Arabidopsis thaliana: one gene and its partners. The protein of the gene in region 1 interacts with the protein of each later gene in a pairwise test. Each region holds a gene or a part of one and is shown in the gene's direction. Other genes may lie near its edges. The genes, in order: AT3G58630, AT3G24860, AL7 and AL6.

Region 1 (5,187 bases):
CTTCGACTTCTTGTAGTTATACTGTTCCTTGGAGCATGCACAAAGCCTCCACGATTATCACTGATCACTGAGTACATGGAAATGGGATCTTTGTATTACTTGCTCCACTTGAGTGGACAAAAAAAGAGGTTAAGCTGGCGGAGGAAGCTAAAGATGCTGCGGGACATTTGCAGGTAATTTCATCTTCCATACAAAACCGTGTATCCTTCTTTCCAACATAGTATGTAGTATTAATATGGAAAATTTTGGTTTGAGGAGAAGGCAATAACACTTCCAAATAGGACCTGGAATTGTGTCTCGATGAGAAAGTTTCGTAATCATCTTTAATTAACAAACAGCGTTTAAACTTGTAAAATGTTGCTAGGGGATTGATGTGTATACACCGGATGGGGATAGTACACCGTGATATAAAGAGTGCAAACTGTCTTTTGAGCAACAAATGGACAGTCAAGATCTGTGATTTTGGGCTGTCGAGAATAATGACAGGGACAACAATGAGAGACACAGTCTCTGCAGGAACTCCAGAGTGGATGGCTCCTGAACTTATCCGCAATGAGCCCTTCTCAGAAAAGTGTGATATCTTCAGTTTAGGTGTAATAATGTGGGAGCTATGCACTTTAACCAGACCTTGGGAAGGAGTACCGCCTGAACGGGTAACTTAACTGAACAAGAAGAAGACTCTTTAGTGACATATGTGTATATATAACAAGTTTCCTCATATTTCTTCTCAGGTTGTTTATGCTATTGCTTACGAGGGAGCTCGGCTTGAGATTCCTGAAGGACCACTGGGAAAGCTTATTGCAGGTCTTGTGACTTGTCAAAGTGTTGTTATTTCGTTTTTCCTGAAGCTTTGTTTGGGGTTTATGGAGTATCCTTTTCTGATGTGTTGTCTCTTGTTCGCAGATTGTTGGACAGAACCGGAACAAAGACCGAGTTGCAATGAGATACTCTCTCGTTTGCTGGATTGTGAGTATTCGCTTTGCTAACTTTCTCTCAATCATATTTTCCTTCTGTGAATATAAAACTTTGCAGCGAGAGAGGTTTTTGTTTTCTTCGTTTCTTTTTTTTGAATATTGTTGGCTTTCTCCTTTGAGTTTGTACAAAAGAACTTTGGCGCTTTCACATCCACAAAAAGCTTTGTGGAACTCTTTTCCGTTTAATCATTTGCAAATTCGTAAATTTCAAAACCTCTGAAACAAAAAAGTAAGTCTTATAAATTTTACAAAAGGTGAGAAGAGTTGCTCATTCTTTCAGTTTAAATGATCAAGCTTGCTACTCTTTTTCGTACCATAAGGTTTGTTCCCTGCTTTGCATTTGCTATAAGAAAATTACGGACAAATACATGTACTTTTCGTTTATATTTCGTGCCTTAAGAAATGAAAAGGAGCTTTGATTGACAAAGAAAAAAGAGCAAACTACAGTTTTTGCAGAACTTCTAGTTATTTAAAGAAAAAACGATTTTATGTTCGTAGCCGTAATTTGTCATTACCTATTTGACAACAACATACATTCTAGTACCGAGTTTAAATTCGGTGATATAACAACGATACTAGTAGTTCGCGTTACCCATTTAGCTTATCACCTAAACACACAAAACTTAGAATAACTTATTCTAATATAGCAATGTGTCATTAACTTACAAAAATAGATCGTTTGATCATATTCTACTTGGCAGTACTATCATTACATTTTACGGAAACTAAACCAAACATCTAACGAGCCATATCCGATTTTTTAATTAGCTTTGATTTTTCTCTACAATCTACAGTTTCAGAAATTTCACCATGCTATAAATTTGTCAATTACATACTATTTAGGATGTGATACCAATTCATTTGGAACCGTTATCATATTCTAATTAAGTTAGACAACAAAAAAAAAGGAAAATATCAACCAAAACTTACATATTATATTACCAACGATTCACCCAAAAAAAAAATATATTACCAACGATTCATAATGAAATTTAATTAGAACTACCACACATAATATTACTAATTAACTTTAGACTTATCAAATTGCATATTAAAATGAATATTTAAAGCTTTTGTAAGAAAAAAAAATATAGAGAAATATTATCTTGTTCGGTAGTCAACATTAACAAAATAAAATAAAAATTAAAACGTTTTAGCTGTTAAAAAATAAAAACCAAATTAACGATGTATATAAATTAGCTAGAGCTGGCTCGTTTAGTCTGGCTCACGGTTTAGTACATGCACACAAAGCAAAAACGCTGGTTTGTCTTTTTAAAAAAAAAGAACTTCGTTTCTCTTCAATTCCGTTACCGTCACTGTCACCGTTCACCTCCGTTTATCTCATCCTCACCGTTCATCTTCTTCGATCTAACTCGCCGTCGTTCACCTTATAATGGACACCGTCAACGATTCCTTTTCGCCGGGATCTTCCCGACCTTCGCCGGCGACGCTTTCTCGTGAAGATTGCTGGAGCGAGGAAGCGACCTTCACGCTCATCCAAGCCTGGGGTAATCGCTACGTCGACCTCAGCCGAGGTAATCTCCGTCAGAAACACTGGCAAGAGGTGGCTAACGCCGTTAACGACCGTCACTACAACACCGGTCGAAACGTTTCCGCCGCCAAATCGCAGCCGTATCGCACCGACGTTCAGTGTAAAAACCGGATCGATACTCTGAAGAAGAAGTACAAAGTCGAGAAGGCTAGGGTTTCGGAATCCAATCCCGGTGCCTACATCAGCCCTTGGCCTTTCTTCTCCGCTCTCGATGACCTTCTCCGGGAAAGCTTTCCGACGTCTAGTAATCCTGATTCAACTGATAACATCCCGCACCAGAGGCTATCACTTCCGATGTCCATTAATCCAGTTCCGGTCGCTCCACGATCGGCGATCCCCAGACGTCCGGCGACATCGCCGGCGATTATACCTCACGCCGGTGACGATTTACTCGGATTTCGCGGGAATCTCAACGCATTCGCGGCAGCCGCAGCGGCGGCGGCGTGTCCGGCGTCTGAAGATGACTCGGAAGGTTCAAGGTCTAGATCGAGCGGTCGTAGCGGGAGTAACAAGAAGCGGGAGAGGAAAATTGAGAAGAAGCAAGGCTACAAGGAAGTTGCCGACGCAATTGAGAGGCTTGGACAGATATACGAGAGAGTCGAGGAGAAGAAGAGGAAGGAAATGGTTGAATTGGAGAAGCAGAGAATGAGATTCGCTAAGGAATTGGAATGCCATAGGATGCAACTGTTCACGGAGATGCAGGTACGTCTTCATAAGCTCCGGCGTACCTCTGGCTCCAAAGGACCGACTTCCTCCGCCTCCGCCGGTGAGACCTGAATCCTTTCTCTCGCCGTATTTCGTAATCTGTTCAGAATTCTATGTCTTTCTCCATTGTTTAGCTGTGTAACAGTGACTATAGCATAAGAGTAGAAACAAATTTTACCTTTTTACTTGTGATAGTCTCTGTGCCAACGACGGCTATAATAAACCCAATCAAAGTACAAGAACAAATTGATATCGCACAGAGATGATGAATCTGAACAAAAATAAACTAATTAGTAGCAAGTATTGGTATTCATGGTAAGGAGGAGGTCCTGGTTACATTTTTCTCCTAGATGTTGTTGCTTTGTTACTTGTGTTTCTTGTAATTATAGTCTGAGTGTGGAAAGTTTTTCTACAATGACTGATGTGAGCATTAGTTGGGAAGCAGTTCATGAGCTAGAAACTTGAATCTGCTTCTGTTTGTTGTTAAGCATGAGTGCTTTGTGAAGTGTTTTGAGTGTGATGCCCAGTAAGTTTTGAGTGTAGAGTAGCCTTTTTGTTGGTTAGTTGATTGAGAAGATTGTGAGTTTACATGCTAACTGCTTCGAAAGTTAGGAAATAATGGGTATGGATGTTTGAAAAGAGAATGCATGATATGTGGAAGGATTTTTCGGATGCATCAACCATTAGTTTCTGACATATAGTCTCAGGAGACAAAATTTGATTTTTTTTTGGATGCATCAAATCTTTCCTGCAACTTGGCTATGGCATTACACGACAGACATTTGTTTCTTTCGTTTTCGCTTGGTCCATATTTCTTTACTTGTTAGTCACCTGCTAATTTGATGAATTCCTCTTTGCATTACATGTTTGACCACTAGAACAAATTATCAGCAGCAGGTCTATGTATGAATAATAAGTGAACTTTTTCTGTTTATGCAGCTCTTGATTATGGGATGATGGATTTCCCTAGTTACTTCTAGAGGTACGACTCCTTTATTTATATTTAAAACTCCCTAGTCGATCAAAACTTTGCCTATGTACAAAATGTGTAGACTTGTTGGGCTAAGTCGTTGGTTTTGTTTGCAGCATCATGAGTTTGTGATTGTAGCCATTTTGATGAAGATGAGAGAAAGTCAGCGTTCTTCCACCAACCAATAGAAGATATGGTAACAAAGAAACATGAGTTTCTCTTTGTTTTGTAAATTTTAACCCTTTTAGAAGATTCCGATTCCAACCCAGGATTGAAAAAAAAATTGGTGACGTTATATTGGTATATCTACACAATGAAACAGTACAAGAAACAGTTTTCAGCAAAATTATATTGGTTAGTATTGTTTGGTATTTCTTAGTTTGTGTTCTAATTTATGATTTAATGAGGTGGAAAATAAAAAAAAAATCTTCAGGGATATACCGCTATATCCTAGTAATTCATTATTTATCTATTACAAATCTCAAGTTCTCAACTCCATAACATGTTAAGTTTAAGAGACTTTAATATGAAATGTTAAGAACTTGAGATTCATAACCTTTGCCCAAAATGTGAGGCAAATCATTTTTGCTCTCATTGAGACTTTGTCATAGTTTGTGTTCTGTATTGGCGCCTCAAATTCCTTCTATGAAACTATAGTTTATTTGTCAATGGATATTTTATTGAAAGCAGTGTTATTACAAGTAACCCAGCCCACCAGGACCCATTTGTAATAAGTAAGAGTTTCTAAAACAAACAAAAATAAGAAAACCAAATGAACCATTAAATTGGGGCCTTTTTGCATGAACGATAATTGAGAAACATGCATTTTCCTCGGATTAATACAATCGGAGCAGGTTTCAATATGATAATACAGTAAAGCAAAACAAAAGAATGAAAATTTCAATTAACAAAATGGCTCTTTGAATCAATTTACGTTCGTGAAGACTAAAGATTTGAAAGAATGAGAAGAGAGATATGTTATAAGA
Region 2 (3,675 bases), about 13 Mb from region 1:
GACGAAAGACCCACCAAACCCTCTGTCTTTGTGCCTAACGGGGAACACAAGCCGCAAGAGACGTGCTGTGGAAGAGAGGAAACGTACCGGTGGATTCAAGAAGGCAAAGGTTGCTCCTTTTCCAGGGACAGCGAGAGATACGCCTAAGTGGCTTGTCAAGGTGATGAGAGACATGAAAGAAGCCAAAGATGCTAAACTGATCTTTGAGAAGACTCTGTTTGTGACTGATATAAACCCAACACAGAACCGTCTCTCAATGCCGTTCAACAACTTACTCCAAAACGATTTCTTGACGTCTGTGGAGTCCAGAATCATAAAGGAAGACATCAACAACAATAAGAAGATTGGAGTGGGAGCGATTCTCGTGGATCAACGGTCTGTAAAGTGGGGTGTGATGTTGAAAAGATGGGAGCTGAAGAAGGAATCAGGAAAAGGAAGCTGGAACTACAATCTGATTTGTGGGTGGAACGATGTCGTTGAGGCTAACGGATTGAAAGAAGGCGACAACATTAGTGTTTGGTCGTTCAGGTGTCGTGGAGTCCTTTGCTTTGCCATGGAACAGAGTAGCTCTTCTCTTGCTCTCTGTCTCTGCTAAGTATCTTATGTCTGTTGTGAGTCTTGTGACTATAACTTGGTTGATTAACACGCACAGTGATTTTCAGGAGATTCTGAAGATTCTTTTGTCTAGTAATTTCTTGAAAGAGTTAAACTAAAGAAACTTGGGTTCCTCTTTCTTCTTAGTAACTTGTTCCTTCTATTGTTTCAGATCATTATAATCGTATGTACTTAGCACTTTTGACATGAATCTGGTTTGTTGTTTGGTCTACTTTAGTTACCTTTCGATTTCTTGTAATATATCTCAAAGTCTAATTTTGTGTGATGACATTGATCCAATTGTGAAAAGGTTACATGTTATGGTACATTCATGAGAAATGCTCAATACAATCAAAACCAGGGTTGTTTTCTACTAAGTGACAGGTTTCTACTAAATGATCAAATCAGGAACAAAATTTGTTGCCAATGACAGGTTTTGCTACAATTGCTTCCTTCTGCCACTTGAATAAGTACGACGTCCTTTAACACAGGGAATGCATTCGTGCTGGCCAAGACACTGCAGAAACTTCCAAGCTGAAACCTGATTATATTTGAATCTCATATCCGAAGTCTGCATTGCTACTATTACTTCACCCTCAAACCATATATATTACATGTGAGAGACATCACGCTCATCTCTTGTCATATTCCAACTAAATTTTTTGTTCGTTTTGCTCACTTAGCAGCCGTTGATGGAAGAAGGAGGAAATTGCAGTGAAGAGGATGAGAAACGATTAGAGAGAAAATGAGAGGAGGATCTCATCAACGCAGGTTTGCCTAGGCACAACTTGGAAGGCTGGTTGAAAAACAGAGATAACTGCAGTAGTGGCTGACCACATAAGCTGTTTTGCTGTTTGCAGCAAAAGCAAGACCATCTTTATCGAAGCCTCCAGGGAATTTTTCGTCGCGGGAAGAACACAATCCTTTCTAGATGATCTGATACAGAATAACAAAAAAACATATGGTGAAGTGATTAGATCGACTTTAGCTAAGACTATCTGAATATAAACCCAGTAAACATATTTGGGCTTTCTCTCGGGTATAAACTTGCTCACCAAATATGCTGAAGTGATTGATTGTTTCGAAGAATGCTAAGGCATCACCTCAAACTCTTGGTTTGTTTCATGGAGAAAAGTTGCTTCTCCTTGTTCTACTTGTCAGTTGTTAGGAAGAATTAGTCAATTTCTCTTCAATGAATCCCTACAAGTTAGACTATTGTGTTGAATAAGTAAAGGAGTTCTGCATGAGTTTATCTCTTTTGTTCCTCCGATACTTTTTACTTCCTCTGAGTAAAAAAAGAGAAGTAAATTTTTACTTCCTCTAAGTGGGTTGGTCTAGTAAATTTTTGTTGGGCCCAAAATTTAAAAAATCAACAAGAAGACAAAAAAAGCCCAAAGATCCGAGTTGGAGTTAAACTGACAAAATCCGAAGCACCAATTAACATTGTTACACTAAACCATGGCGACGCCTTCGCCGACCTCCTCTCCTCCCTCTGATTCAAACCCTAATTCTGCCGCTACTCCGCCGCATCAGAAACAACCACCCTCTCCTCCTCAACCCACGAATCCATCCTCTCCACCACCGCACACCACCGTCGTAGCTTTAGCCGCATCAACCTCCGCCGTCGCCAGAAAAACCCAACCTGTTCTCTGGACTCAAGACGAGACCCTCCTCTTAATCGAATCATACAAAGAGAAATGGTTCGCAATTGGTCGTGGTCCTCTAAAATCAACTCACTGGGAAGAGATCGCCGTTGCTGCCTCATCTCGTTCCGGCGTTGAACGGACATCTACACAGTGTAGGCATAAGATCGAGAAGATGCGTAAAAGATTCCGATCTGAGAGACAGAGTATGGGACCTATCTCAATTTGGCCTTTCTATAATCAAATGGAGGAATTGGATTCTTCAAATCCTGCTCCGATCTCAGCTCGTCCTCTCACTCGTCTTCCTCCTAATTCGAATAATCGCTACGTAGACGACGAAGAAGAAGATGAAGAAGAGGATAACAATAACTACGAAGAAGAGGAAGAAGAAGATGAGAGACAGAGCAAATCGAGGAGTATTAATTACATATTGAGAAGACCTGGAACTGTTAACAGATTTGCTGGAGTTGGTGGAGGATTGTTGTCATGGGGACAAAAAGAGAGATCATCGAAGAGGAAGAGGAACGATGGAGACGGTGGTGAGAGGCGGAGGAAAGGAATGCGAGCCGTTGCAGCGGAGATTAGGGCGTTTGCTGAGAGAGTAATGGTAATGGAGAAGAAGAAGATTGAGTTTGCTAAAGAGACTGTGAGACTTCGTAAGGAAATGGAGATTCGTAGAATCAATTTGATTCAGAGTTCTCAAACTCAGCTTCTTCAATTTATCAACAATGCTTTTGATTCTTTCTAACGTAGAGATTTAGTCATTGTTGCTTTTAGATTTGTAACATAGGTAACGGATTTGAAGAAATGCACTATGTAAGCTAATGTTTATGGGAGTGAAGTGAACTTTTTTTTTAACCATAAAAGAACAATGATACATTCATCAAATTAACCTAAACCTACAAGAGAATAAGTTAGAGGAAAAGGTTAAAAAAGGGCCCTAAGTATATGCCACAAGGATGGAGGAGTAGAGACTTCTATACAAAACATTATAAACTGTTTCTACTCTCTCCCAAACCAAAAGATGGGAAGAAGAAGAGACTACTTCTCTATGATGCAAGTGGGTAATTTACATTATGATATACCTTCTTCTCTTTGTGTTCATCAAAAGAGGCAAAAAGACCTGCATGAATTTTATCCTATCCACCAACTTCTTCCCTATTGATCTCCCTCTGGCCTTACCAAATCTGCAAACTCCACAATCTGTAGAGTTTGTTATGTTATACTCTCAGCCAAATCCAAAGACCACCAGCAGCTTCAAGATGTTAATGCCAAAAAGAGACCCGACTCTGAAGGTGGAGGACACAAACCAGTTTGGGTTCCTGTACAGGGTTGTTGTCGGTAAGGGCCAGCGTTAAGCTTTGCAGGATCTACAGCTACTCAAGGTTCTAGGTTCATCTGTCATGCCTCTCATTCCACTTTTGTATCAGGAGGCTTG
Region 3 (5,737 bases), on another chromosome or scaffold:
TACAATTCTGTGAAACTATGTTACTTTTGTGGTTTAAAATTCTCCTAACTCGTTTATAAATCCTTGTTTTATGTACTTCAACAACATTGTGATAGACTCATGATTAAAGTTTGGATTGACATCAACTGAAAAAGATCTGAAGAGTATTCGTACAAAAAAATAAAAAGATAGCAAAAATTGTCATGGGCGTGCTCTTAATATTGGTACTTACTTGACTTTTGTTGGCGAGGTAAGGGAACCCCATGTTCCTTTTGGTTCTTCTTTATTCAGGAAATAATGTGGAATCTTTAAGAATATTGGTGTTTTCGGGGATGTGCAAGCTAAGTTACATCTGATTTCGTCCCTCTTTATAGGATTGGCTTTCCTTCGGGTGGAAGGCAAAGATTGTTGAAATGCTTGGAGAGGCTACTGGCATACTTGCCTCGGTGATGCAAGATACACTGAAACTTTTTAGTTTATGGTCCTTATATTTTTATTATGTTTTAAATATGACCCATAACTTTTGTAATTACAACTATTGCCCCATTATCCTCGAGCTTAATTAACTAAGACTAGTAAAATCATTTGTGAGCCCTTTCGTAATCAAATTTCAGACCAGGTTTACCCGAACTCCATTATATTATGCGAACCGTATTTCAGTGACAAAATGTTGAAAAGTTTTTCTCATCGAATTTCGGGGTTGAGGGCCTTGTGTTGAAATGATTTGGTTGAAGATTTCGGATGATGATCTCCATAATCAATTGTGGGCTTCAGGTGGATGGACGGAGAAGACCACTGCGTTATGGGCTTCGTTGATTTCAAATTGGGCGTTTTCGTGAGATTAGGCCCATTGTTGAATAGTCAGCTTGATTTTGTTGCCTTAGTATTTTACAAAAATTGTTGACTGGTCAGCTGATACTACATTATTCATCGAATGTTTATGAATCTATTACGAATGAACCTTGAGAGAAAGATAGTTTGTTATGAATTCATTCCACATTGGTATTACAATAGATTGATTCGAACTTATACTTATTATATCTAATAAGTACATATTAGAAGTTAACTAATAGTTAGCTAACTTGGAAGGCGAGTCATGTGACAGTAGCATATTTTTAATATTGATTAATAACATGTTTACAAAGTTAATAGTCTACTTTTATTAATGTGGCAAGTACGTGAATGTGTTCCTAATCCTAATTATTCGTAAATATATTTAAATTTTATTAGTTAAACTACCTTTTAATTAATCAAACAATACGAAACTCCATCAAACAACTTTATACAAAAGAACGACACTTACATCCCAAATTAGACAACCATGTTAAAAAATGCTGTATGCAAATAGCTCATTAGACCATGATGAAGAGCAAACCAAACAAATACATATTGTTTTAAAATCATTTCCATGTGTCATCTGATGATTCAACATGTCAATAAGGTCGAAACGTGAAATGGAGCAAACTGATTCTTAGACAACATCCGGAAACTTAATTATTGGTATGAAGATCAAAATGTTTCTTTGGTTTCGACGTTATACCATTAATCTTTCTGCTAAGTATCTGACAACTTGTGATACACGTCAAGTATCTCCCAACTGTGACTAACTTCTTCTTCTTTTTTTCTTCTTCATAAAAACAACTGATTGTTCTTTTGAGGATAAAAGCATCAACGCCTCATTTTACTTACTTACCCGCAAATTCTAATCTGCAAAAAGATAGGAAATACATAGTCATCCATCCTAATGTAGTTCTAACTTCTATGTATTAAAGCTTTGTAGAGTTTGATTTGAATATAATTCACATGAAAATTAACAAAAACATGTAAAACAGTAGTATAAACAAAACCAAAATAATAACAAAAAACATTAACGATTAAACAAATCAGATAAAGACCCTCGCTCTCTCTACGGTATTAAGCTTGAAGCATTCTTTTTAACTATTAGTAGTATAATTTAACTCATTATTAACTAGAGATTAATGACAGAATATTGTAAAACCATCAATTTTGTTTAAAATCATTATTTTTTTTTAATCTTTAGCCTTTCCATTATATTGATCGACAGATATGGATATTATAGTACAGTTCTTAAACGTTAATCACAGTAAAACTGGCAGAAATTTACTGTATTATTACTTCAGTTCGTTGTAGAACATGCCTCAGGAAAAAAAAGCGCACATAAATATTGACCCAAAACAAAAGAAAAGTAAAACGACTTTATATTTCTGGAGTGAATTAAATAAATAGATAAATACAGGTTGTGACTTTAAAAAAAAAAAAAAAAAGTTGAGATGTTGTCGCTTTAATCTATTCTTCCAATGCTTCCAAATCCCTCAAATTGTCTTTTGTCTCCTTTCCTTTTCGTTTTTAGGGTTTTTTTTTCTTAGCACAGCTCTCTCTTCTCAATTTCCCCAAATGAAATAAATTCCTCCGAAAGTTTATAGATTTCACTCTCCCCCGAACTATACAAAATTCCCTCAAAAGGAAAAACTAAAAAGCCGATCTTGGCTTTTTTGTTTCTGAGTGCATCTCGATACTTGGAAGCATTCTTTGGTGAGGCTGATTCATTCTCATCTGTGAAAGTCTTTGGCTTTTGAAGCAATACTATGGAAGGAATTCAGCATCCTATACCTCGCACTGTCGAAGAGGTTTTTAGCGACTTTCGTGGTCGTAGAGCTGGTCTCATCAAGGCTCTCTCTACTGGTCAGCTCGATCTCTCTTTCTCTATTTACTCTGTTTCTTTTGATCGAATCTTAGATGATTTCTGTAGATTTGCGAGTTTTTTTTATATGTTTAGTGCTCGTTTCTTCAATTGGGTTTTCTTAATTTCCTGAGAAAAAAACCCCCAAAAGATTTTGGCTTTCTTCTTCCTGTTTTGGGTTTATTCATGTTCTTTTGTTGTGTGTTTTGTTTTGCAGATGTACAGAAGTTTTACCATCAGTGTGACCCTGGTGAGTTATTTCGTTACCCATTTAAAGTCTTGTATATAGCTTCCTAACGCATTGGTTCTTATCTTGTTTATAGGAAGATGTGTTTTTTTTTTTTTTGCTAAAGTTAAGATTTTTCAGTGCAAGAGTTCCTTTCGGGTCTGAATTAGGGAAGAGATTGTAATTGGACATGCGTTTTTTTTGCTTCATGAGTTTGTTCACGGATTCTTTTTGTTCCCAGCTTTTGTTTTTCTAAATTCTGTTAGATTGTTTTAGTTAGCTTCTTCCTGATTACATCTAATCTGCAGTAGACTTGTTGTTATGATCCTTTTTCTAGTTGACTCCTCTGTTAGGTGTTATATCTTTGATTATCTTCCTGTCAGAGTTGTTGTCTGTTTGAACAGTTTTTTTGGTTCATGATGTTTGAACAGATTATAGACTTTTTAAGTGTTTGTGAGATTTGTACCTAAGATGAAGTTAGTTCTCTTTGTGGTTTCTCTTCTTGACTTCTTAGTGAATTACGTTTTTTGCTAATGCAGAGAAGGAAAACTTGTGTCTTTATGGACTTCCAAATGAGACATGGGAGGTTAATCTTCCCGTTGAGGAGGTCCCTCCTGAGCTTCCTGAACCAGCGTTAGGCATCAATTTCGCAAGGGACGGAATGCAAGAAAAAGACTGGATTTCTTTGGTTGCAGTTCACAGTGATTCATGGCTTATCTCTGTTGCATTTTACTTTGGTGCACGTTTCGGATTTGGCAAGAATGAGAGGTAAGTTTCTTTCTCTGCTCAGTGTTCTGTGTTTGTTAATTTTGCTTGTTTGGTAAAGCTTCAATGACTAGTATAGTAGCTGCATAATTCTAGCATCCAAACACCGTGTAGTTGTTGTTGTAGATACTAGTGACGATCTCTGGCACACTAAACTCATGTTATCCTGTTTCTGTGAAACAACCCTGAAGAAGTGATCATCATTTTTTCTCCTTCAGTAGAGAGAAGTGAACCTACAAATGTATTGAATTCCATCTAAGCTGAACCAAAATTTATTGAGATTTAAGAATTTAGGTCAAAGATCATGTTTGTTGAATAGCCAAGTAACATTGTTTGTTTTCTCTGATATTATAGACTCAAATGGTTTAGTTATCTTGCCTCTGATCTTATTAATTCCTTTCAGGAAGAGGCTCTTCCAGATGATAAATGATCTCCCAACCATTTTCGAGGTTGTAACTGGCAATGCAAAGCAATCCAAGGATCAATCTGCTAACCACAACAGTAGCAGAAGCAAATCTAGTGGTGGCAAGGTAGAAGCTTCTGTTTTCTCTTTTTTTTCGCCCTCTCAGTCCATGTATCTGTGTTGGGTTCTTATCTCTACTTACTCCTTTGTTTTCTAATGCAGCCTCGTCATTCTGAATCTCACACTAAGGCTTCAAAGATGTCCCCTCCACCAAGAAAAGAAGATGAGAGCGGAGATGAGGATGAAGATGACGAGCAAGGTGCTGTTTGTGGTGCGTGTGGCGACAACTATGGAGGAGATGAGTTCTGGATATGTTGTGATGCTTGCGAGAAATGGTTCCATGGGAAATGCGTGAAGATCACACCAGCAAAGGCTGAGCATATCAAACATTACAAATGCCCAAGTTGCACTACCAGCAAGAAAATGAAAGCCTGAAAGTGATAATAACATTAGAGCCTGTGAAAGAGGAAAACGTTTTCACAGTTTAAGAAGACAGTACAAGAGTTTAGCTGTGGGAAGAAGAAGAAACAAAAGGCTTCTGATTGCGTAGTTTTAATGGGATTGAGACAGCTTACAGTTAGTAATGTCTCTTTCTCTTTTCTTTTCTTTTTTTTTGCTGTTAATGTTAAAATGTTATGACTAATTTGTCTTAAGTTTCTGAGAAAATTCTGTCTTTTAAGCACTCTCTAGTCTATGTCAAGTGGTTTCTTCTTCTCGGTATCTCACTTGCTTTAAAAGTTTTAAACTTTGGCTCCCGATGAAACTCATTAAGCTGATTACCTCATAGAACATGACATTCAATAACAATTTGTCGAGGTTATATCTTTAGATTCTCAAAGTCCCTCTCTGTTTCACAAATGTAACAAACATTCGATTTACTGCAGCCTTCAGATGGCTCAGCCTCAGGGCTATGAAAATTTCCATAAAGAGATACATAGGAAAGAGCAGGTACAAGGTAAAGGCCGCACAAAGAAACAATAGAGGGTTGGGTGAGATTATAGCCATAGCAAGCGCATAAGAAACTCCCAGAGACGCTCCAATCCAAAAGAACCATGTTGTAAACAAGCTACCGATTGGTAGGAGACAAAACGTGTAGAGTAGAGCGCAACAGAAGCCTATAGTGTTAGAAACCCAAAGGACGATGAAGAATGTCTGTTTCATTACTGCGGTACCACCACCCTCGGACTGGTGTACACCTCCTGGAGGCTGGAGTGCAGTTTGATAAGTGGATGTGAGTATCAAAGTACATATAATCAAGAAGACTGCACGGCCTTCTTCTGAAGTGTCGGACCTTAGGCGTCTGATGCCAATGGAGCAATGAGCCAAGAAAGTGACTGGTGACTTAAACTGATCAGACGGTTTCTCGAGTTGCGGAAGAGAAGCCGCCTCCTTGCACCCGGTTTTTACAACAACTTGTTCCAAATCCTTATCCAAGTCTCTACTCTGTCCATTGTTTCTTAAGATATCAAGGAATGTTAAACCATCCGCATTTACTTCGTTCAGTTTCACCAGCTGACACTGTAGCAGCAGTTTTACCGCCTGCATACATATCTTTTATACTCAGGCCAATTTTGACACAACATGACAGAAAACATACAAAACT
Region 4 (5,388 bases), on another chromosome or scaffold:
ATTGATAGTCTCTACGAGAAATCATCAAGACGATGATGAAACTGCCATTGTTGACGATCTTCAAAGACTAGTTAACTACCAAATATCAGATGGAGGTAACATCAATCACCAATACTTTCAAATTGCTCAACAGTTTCATCATACTCAACAACAAAATGCTAACGCAAACGCATTACAATTGGTGGCTGCGGCGACTACAGCGACAACGCTAATGCCTCAAACTCAAGCGGCGTTAGCTATGAACATGATTCCTGCAGGAACGATTCCAAACAATGCTTTGTGGGATATGTGGAATCCAATAGTACCAGATGGAAACAGAGATCACTATACTAATATTCCTTTTAAGTAATTTAATTAGATCATGATTATTATCCATGACAATAATTATTAATGCTGCTTTGCCATATTTTCATACTCCTTATATATTGTTATGGCGATAGACAATGATTGATTACTGCGAGTTTATGTAATGGAACTGATTCTCAACATATATAGTCAATTAAGTAGTTTTTTTTTTCTTGTGTTAAAGTTAATTTCTTTAAGCTAGATTCAACGTAGTTAAAAAAAAAAAATTCACTGTAATATATGAATACAAAATGACTAAGGAGTGCAATCCGTATCAAAAGTTCTCAAACAAACCAAAGAAGAAATAAACTTATTGGATTAGATTTTCATGTACGAGCCCTAACCGAAACCAGACTAAAACCAAACACTAACTAAACCATAACAATAGTAACCGTAAATCCAACCTAGTGATATTTAATTTGGTCTTCATTCCATTTCAAAATTTCAAATTGAATGTTGATATTTTTTGTTGTTTATTCATCACTTATTAGAATTCATTTTGCATTGTCATTTACATGCATTAGATCCAAGATGTTTAATTTTAGTTACCTGTTAGTGCGACTTTATAGATAAACAATCCACTAACTCTTAAGAATTCAACAACTAATTTTGAGATAGAAATATATAAAGATAAAAGATGTTAGCTAGTTTTTTGTCTTTGTAAATATAAGACTAATTAGGGTTTGACAAAAAAAAAAAGCATAGGACGTGCAATATTTGGTAAGAGCAGTTGTTCCCGTGATTTTGTCAGATATGACCAGCATGAACAGTTGTATGTTGTAAGAAATCAGTTCCCTTTTTCTCAATGAGAAAAACAAATTTAAACTTGACTTAACTCTCATACTAGTCTTTTTAATCCTAATTATTAACAATCTTTAATAATATATGTAATGTGGCAAAATCCTAATATATACTGACTTGAATATGATACGAAAGTACTAATTTTAAAGTTTTTTCCCTTTCTAACCGGTCGATGTAACCGTATTTGCATGTTTTCTTAGATTATTTTAAATAATATATGTCTATCACCTATATTAGTAAGTATATATTCATAGATTATAGTTGATTTTGCCCAAAGAAAAAAGAAGATTATAGTTGATTATACCACATCATTGATATTCTGTGACGAATTAGATTACAGTTGCGGTAAACGTATTCGCTAGCTAGTACGACGTGCTTAACGCAAAAATATTCAAAGATAACGAATCCGATTAATATTGGTTCGTTTCTTAATTCTTACATCTAGAATCACACATAAAAACAATAAAATAATTAAAAATTTGATGAATTTTTTATTTTTTTGAGTGATAAAAGGCAAAATGTTTTCCGTTTTTTAGTAGCTTTCTCTTTCAAAATATCTATTTCTGGTGTATATCGTGAAAAAAACTTTCAAAATACGTGAATGTGATGATCGTTGAAAACTTCAAATCTCATTTCCCCTAGGTTACTATAAAAGCCCACTATCCTTTAATGGGCCAGGCATGCTATTTCTGTACAATACAAGATGGACCTGAATGTTTTAACTTTTAACTTTTATCTTTAAGGTCAAGTTAATTGAAAACAAAAACCAAATTTGTGGATCAATTTGGATGCCTCAGCCTACGTATAAAAACATGTTTTTTTTTCGTAATATTAATGGAAATGAATATGTTAAAAAAAAAAAATACATGTTTTTTTCGTCGACACTTTTAAAAATAAAATAAAATTTAAATAAATGTCTTTGACCAAAATAAAAATAATGTAAAATTTGGGAGTGGGGAATGTAGCTCGGAAAAAAATAGGGTATGTAGATCGGAATTAATAAATAGATTTTATATTATTACATAAACAATAATAAAATACACAATGTTGTCTTTATTTAATTAATACAAAAATAATAAAATAGACAATGTTGTCTTTATTAATATTACTTCTCAGCCCCAAAATTAATCTTTGATCGGTCCCTTTTGTTTTATCGTTTTAGGGTTTGTAGCTCCTTTCTCTTTTTTTCTTTTCTCAATTTCCCCCAAATTAAAAAAAAACTCTCTCTTTCAGAGATTTACAAATTTCATTTCTCCAAATCCGAAACCCCAAAGTGAATATTTTTCCTTCTGGGTTTCTTTTGTTTGCCTGGAAACATTTGTCTCAGATTTTGATTTTGACCGGAGTACTCATATTCTCCGGCGATTTCTCCGGCGACATCGTTTGTGAAATGGAGGGAATTACTCATCCAATACCTCGTACTGTTGAAGAGGTCTTTAGCGACTTCAGAGGTCGACGAGCTGGTCTTATTAAAGCTCTCACTAATGGTCAGTTTTGGTCTGATTCTTGTTTCTCACTTGCGAATCAGAATGATAAGTATCTACAGAGTTACGATTTTGTGGCATTTGGGTTTTTCATTTGTTAAAAAAGAAGAACTTTTTTTATTTTGGGTTTCTTTTGTGAGATTTGACGATTCTGGGTTTTGTGTTTTGTTTATGCAGATATGGTGAAGTTTTACCAAACGTGTGATCCTGGTGAGTTATTTCTTCACAACTTTTAAAAAATTAGTCTTGCTTAGCTTCTATAGTTTCTAGTGAAATGTTTTGTTGAAGTTGTTGAGCTTGTATGTTGTTGAATTGTGTTGGTTAAAGATTGAGTTAGTTAGTCCTCCTCTGTGTGGTTTTTCTTTAAGGTGTTTCATTCTTGTTTATGTAGAGAAGGAGAATTTGTGTCTCTATGGACTTCCAAATGAGACATGGGAGGTTAATCTACCCGTTGAGGAAGTTCCTCCTGAGCTTCCTGAACCAGCTTTAGGCATCAATTTCGCTAGAGACGGAATGCAAGAAAAGGACTGGGTATCTTTGGTCGCAGTTCACAGTGATTCATGGCTGCTTTCTGTTGCATTTTACTTTGGTGCACGTTTCGGATTTGGCAAGAATGAGAGGTAAGGGTCCTTCTCAAGCTCAGTGTTTTTGAGTGTTGCATCTCAATTATGACAATATTGGGTGTACTCATGTGTGGTAAGGTTATAATGATCATTCTAGCATCCTCTTGTTTTGTCTATTTGTCTGATACAACAATCTCTGTGTGGATTTTTGTAACTCACGTGATCTTATTTATAGGGTCGGTTTCTGTGTAACTCTTTTTGTAAGTGGTTCCCAGTTTCTATTTTGAAGTGACTAGAGTTATGAATCGCACCAATCTGGATCAATGTTATTGAGATAGATATATTAGTCAATAGATGTGATATGTGCCTCTAAGTCTGATTAGTACTTCTTGTATTAGTCTTGTGCAGGATCACTGTAATTAGCCTAGGTAGTTTCCACTGCATTGTACCTTTGTTGAGAGCTCAGCAACAATCACTGAATCCATTATTTGATACTGGTAGCTGACAGGTTAAACGAAAAGCTTGAGCAGAATGAGTTGTTGATTCTGAATCTCATCAAATTCTTCTCTGGCATTAGGTTTGTTTGAACAACTTAGCTATCACTTGCCTTTAAGCTTATGCCATGGACCGATTCTTTTTCAGGAAGAGGCTGTTCCAGATGATTAATGAGCTGCCAACCATTTTCGAAGTTGTGAGCGGCAATGCAAAGCAGTCCAAGGATCTATCTGTTAACAACAATAATAGCAAAAGCAAACCTAGTGGCGTCAAGGTATCTCTTCTGTTTCACCATTTTGTTTTATCAATCTCTGCTAAGTTTTATCTCTTTGTATTCCTCACAAACAGTCTCGCCAATCCGAATCTCTCTCAAAGGTTGCAAAGATGTCATCTCCACCGCCAAAAGAAGAAGAAGAAGAAGAAGATGAGAGTGAAGATGAGAGTGAAGACGATGAACAAGGTGCGGTTTGTGGTGCTTGTGGAGACAACTACGGTACAGATGAGTTCTGGATTTGCTGCGACGCGTGTGAGAAATGGTTCCATGGAAAATGTGTGAAGATAACACCTGCAAAAGCAGAACACATCAAGCATTACAAATGCCCAACTTGCAGTAACAAGAGAGCTAGACCTTGAAGTTAAATAACCAAATTATGAAAAGGTAAAGCGAGTTAGGAGAAAATTATGAAAGAAGAAGGTGAAGTTTCCAGTTTATAAGAAATGCCAGTAAAAGGGACTTAGAAGATGTAAGCAGGTAAAAAAAAAAATTGTATTGCTTAGTCTTTATTGTTGGATTGAGACTATCTACAGTTGGTGATGTCTTTTCTTTTCTTTTTTTGGATTTTTGTTGTTGTTAATGTTAATTCTACTACTAATTTGTTTGGTCTGTTTAAGATATTTTAGTTCTGATTAGTAATTTTTTTTTTTTTTTTCTGATTAGTAATTTGCTAAAATTGTAAAAACTATTATGTCGTTATGTAGTCTTTTTATTCATCTTTTATCTTACTCTCTCTTTTATTTAGCTATTTATTTTGTTTCATATGATTGGTAGTTAAGTTGATTATATCACCATATATTATGAAATTGGTATTGGTCAAAAGGTATCAGTCAGGATTAATACTTCTAATTTTTTTTAAAACTGTTTCATTATTGTCAAAAAGAAAAACTGTTTCATTTGAAAAAATGGTTCAAGTATTAATTATCTAATACTTCTATTGTTTTTTCATAGTGCAAATATACATTGCCATCAATCTTGTTGTCTTTTGAACTTTTGCTATATATATAAAAAAAAAGATTGAAGTTGATAAATTATGACAGCCCAAATTATTACTTGACTAGATCTATTTGAGCCCAATGTTAGACAAGGATGTGTGTTTGGGCATGTAGCTTATATATCATGCCACTCATTTATTAGTTTACTTTTTTTTTTTTGGGTAATATGACTATCTATCCTCAGAATAATGATAATTAACTGACAAAAAAAACACCGTTGTCTTCTACTATTTTAATTTTATGACAATTATACCCCTAAATTAATTAAACTAAAAATAAAAGGTTCGATGAAACATTAGTACGTTAAATGAAACATTTAGTACGTTCAAATAAATATTATCCATATATCGATTATCTTACCGTGTTAAGACAAATATTATTTCGATATTTAGTATGTTACCATGTTATTATTCATATATCGATTATCTTAC

The links.
Region 2: the proteins of AT3G58630 (region 1) and AT3G24860 interact in a two-hybrid assay, tested with the Arabidopsis thaliana proteins (one large-scale study listed by BioGRID).
Region 3: the proteins of AT3G58630 (region 1) and AL7 interact in a two-hybrid assay, tested with the Arabidopsis thaliana proteins (one large-scale study listed by BioGRID).
Region 4: the proteins of AT3G58630 (region 1) and AL6 interact in a two-hybrid assay, tested with the Arabidopsis thaliana proteins (one large-scale study listed by BioGRID).

Annotation. Positions count from the first base shown.
Region 1 is NC_003074.8:21,682,952-21,688,138, reverse strand, and holds AT3G58630 (sequence-specific DNA binding transcription factor), read left to right. Parts: upstream 1-2,099; 5' UTR 2,100-2,367; coding exon 2,368-3,292; coding exon of another isoform or gene 3,293-3,303; exon of another isoform or gene 3,304-4,170; coding exon 4,171-4,211; 3' UTR 4,212-4,213; intron 4,214-4,317; 3' UTR 4,318-4,609; downstream 4,610-5,187. Other genes in the region: AT3G58640 (Mitogen activated protein kinase kinase kinase-like protein), read left to right, coding at 17-173, 365-653, 732-804, 904-986; TTL4 (tetratricopetide-repeat thioredoxin-like 4), read right to left, coding at 5,180-5,187.
Region 2 is NC_003074.8:9,071,590-9,075,264, forward strand, and holds AT3G24860 (Homeodomain-like superfamily protein), read left to right. Parts: upstream 1-2,033; 5' UTR 2,034-2,052; coding exon 2,053-2,985; 3' UTR 2,986-3,093; downstream 3,094-3,675. Other genes in the region: AT3G24850 (B3 domain protein (DUF313)), read left to right, coding at 1-595; AT3G24870 (Helicase/SANT-associated, DNA binding protein), read right to left, coding at 3,648-3,675.
Region 3 is NC_003070.9:4,961,003-4,966,739, reverse strand, and holds AL7 (alfin-like 7), read left to right. Parts: upstream 1-2,224; 5' UTR 2,225-2,585; coding exon 2,586-2,682; intron 2,683-2,897; coding exon 2,898-2,930; intron 2,931-3,445; coding exon 3,446-3,674; intron 3,675-4,074; coding exon 4,075-4,201; intron 4,202-4,296; coding exon 4,297-4,569; 3' UTR 4,570-4,959; downstream 4,960-5,737. Other genes in the region: AT1G14500 (Ankyrin repeat family protein), read right to left, coding at 4,960-5,673. UniProt on the Arabidopsis thaliana protein: Histone-binding component that specifically recognizes H3 tails trimethylated on 'Lys-4' (H3K4me3), which mark transcription start sites of virtually all active genes.
Region 4 is NC_003071.7:650,301-655,688, forward strand, and holds AL6 (alfin-like 6), read left to right. Parts: upstream 1-2,275; 5' UTR 2,276-2,536; coding exon 2,537-2,633; intron 2,634-2,807; coding exon 2,808-2,840; intron 2,841-3,021; coding exon 3,022-3,250; intron 3,251-3,835; coding exon 3,836-3,962; coding exon of another isoform or gene 3,963-4,036; coding exon 4,037-4,321; 3' UTR 4,322-4,685; downstream 4,686-5,388. Other genes in the region: LOV1 (NAC domain containing protein 35), read left to right, coding at 1-349. UniProt on the Arabidopsis thaliana protein: Histone-binding component that specifically recognizes H3 tails trimethylated on 'Lys-4' (H3K4me3), which mark transcription start sites of virtually all active genes.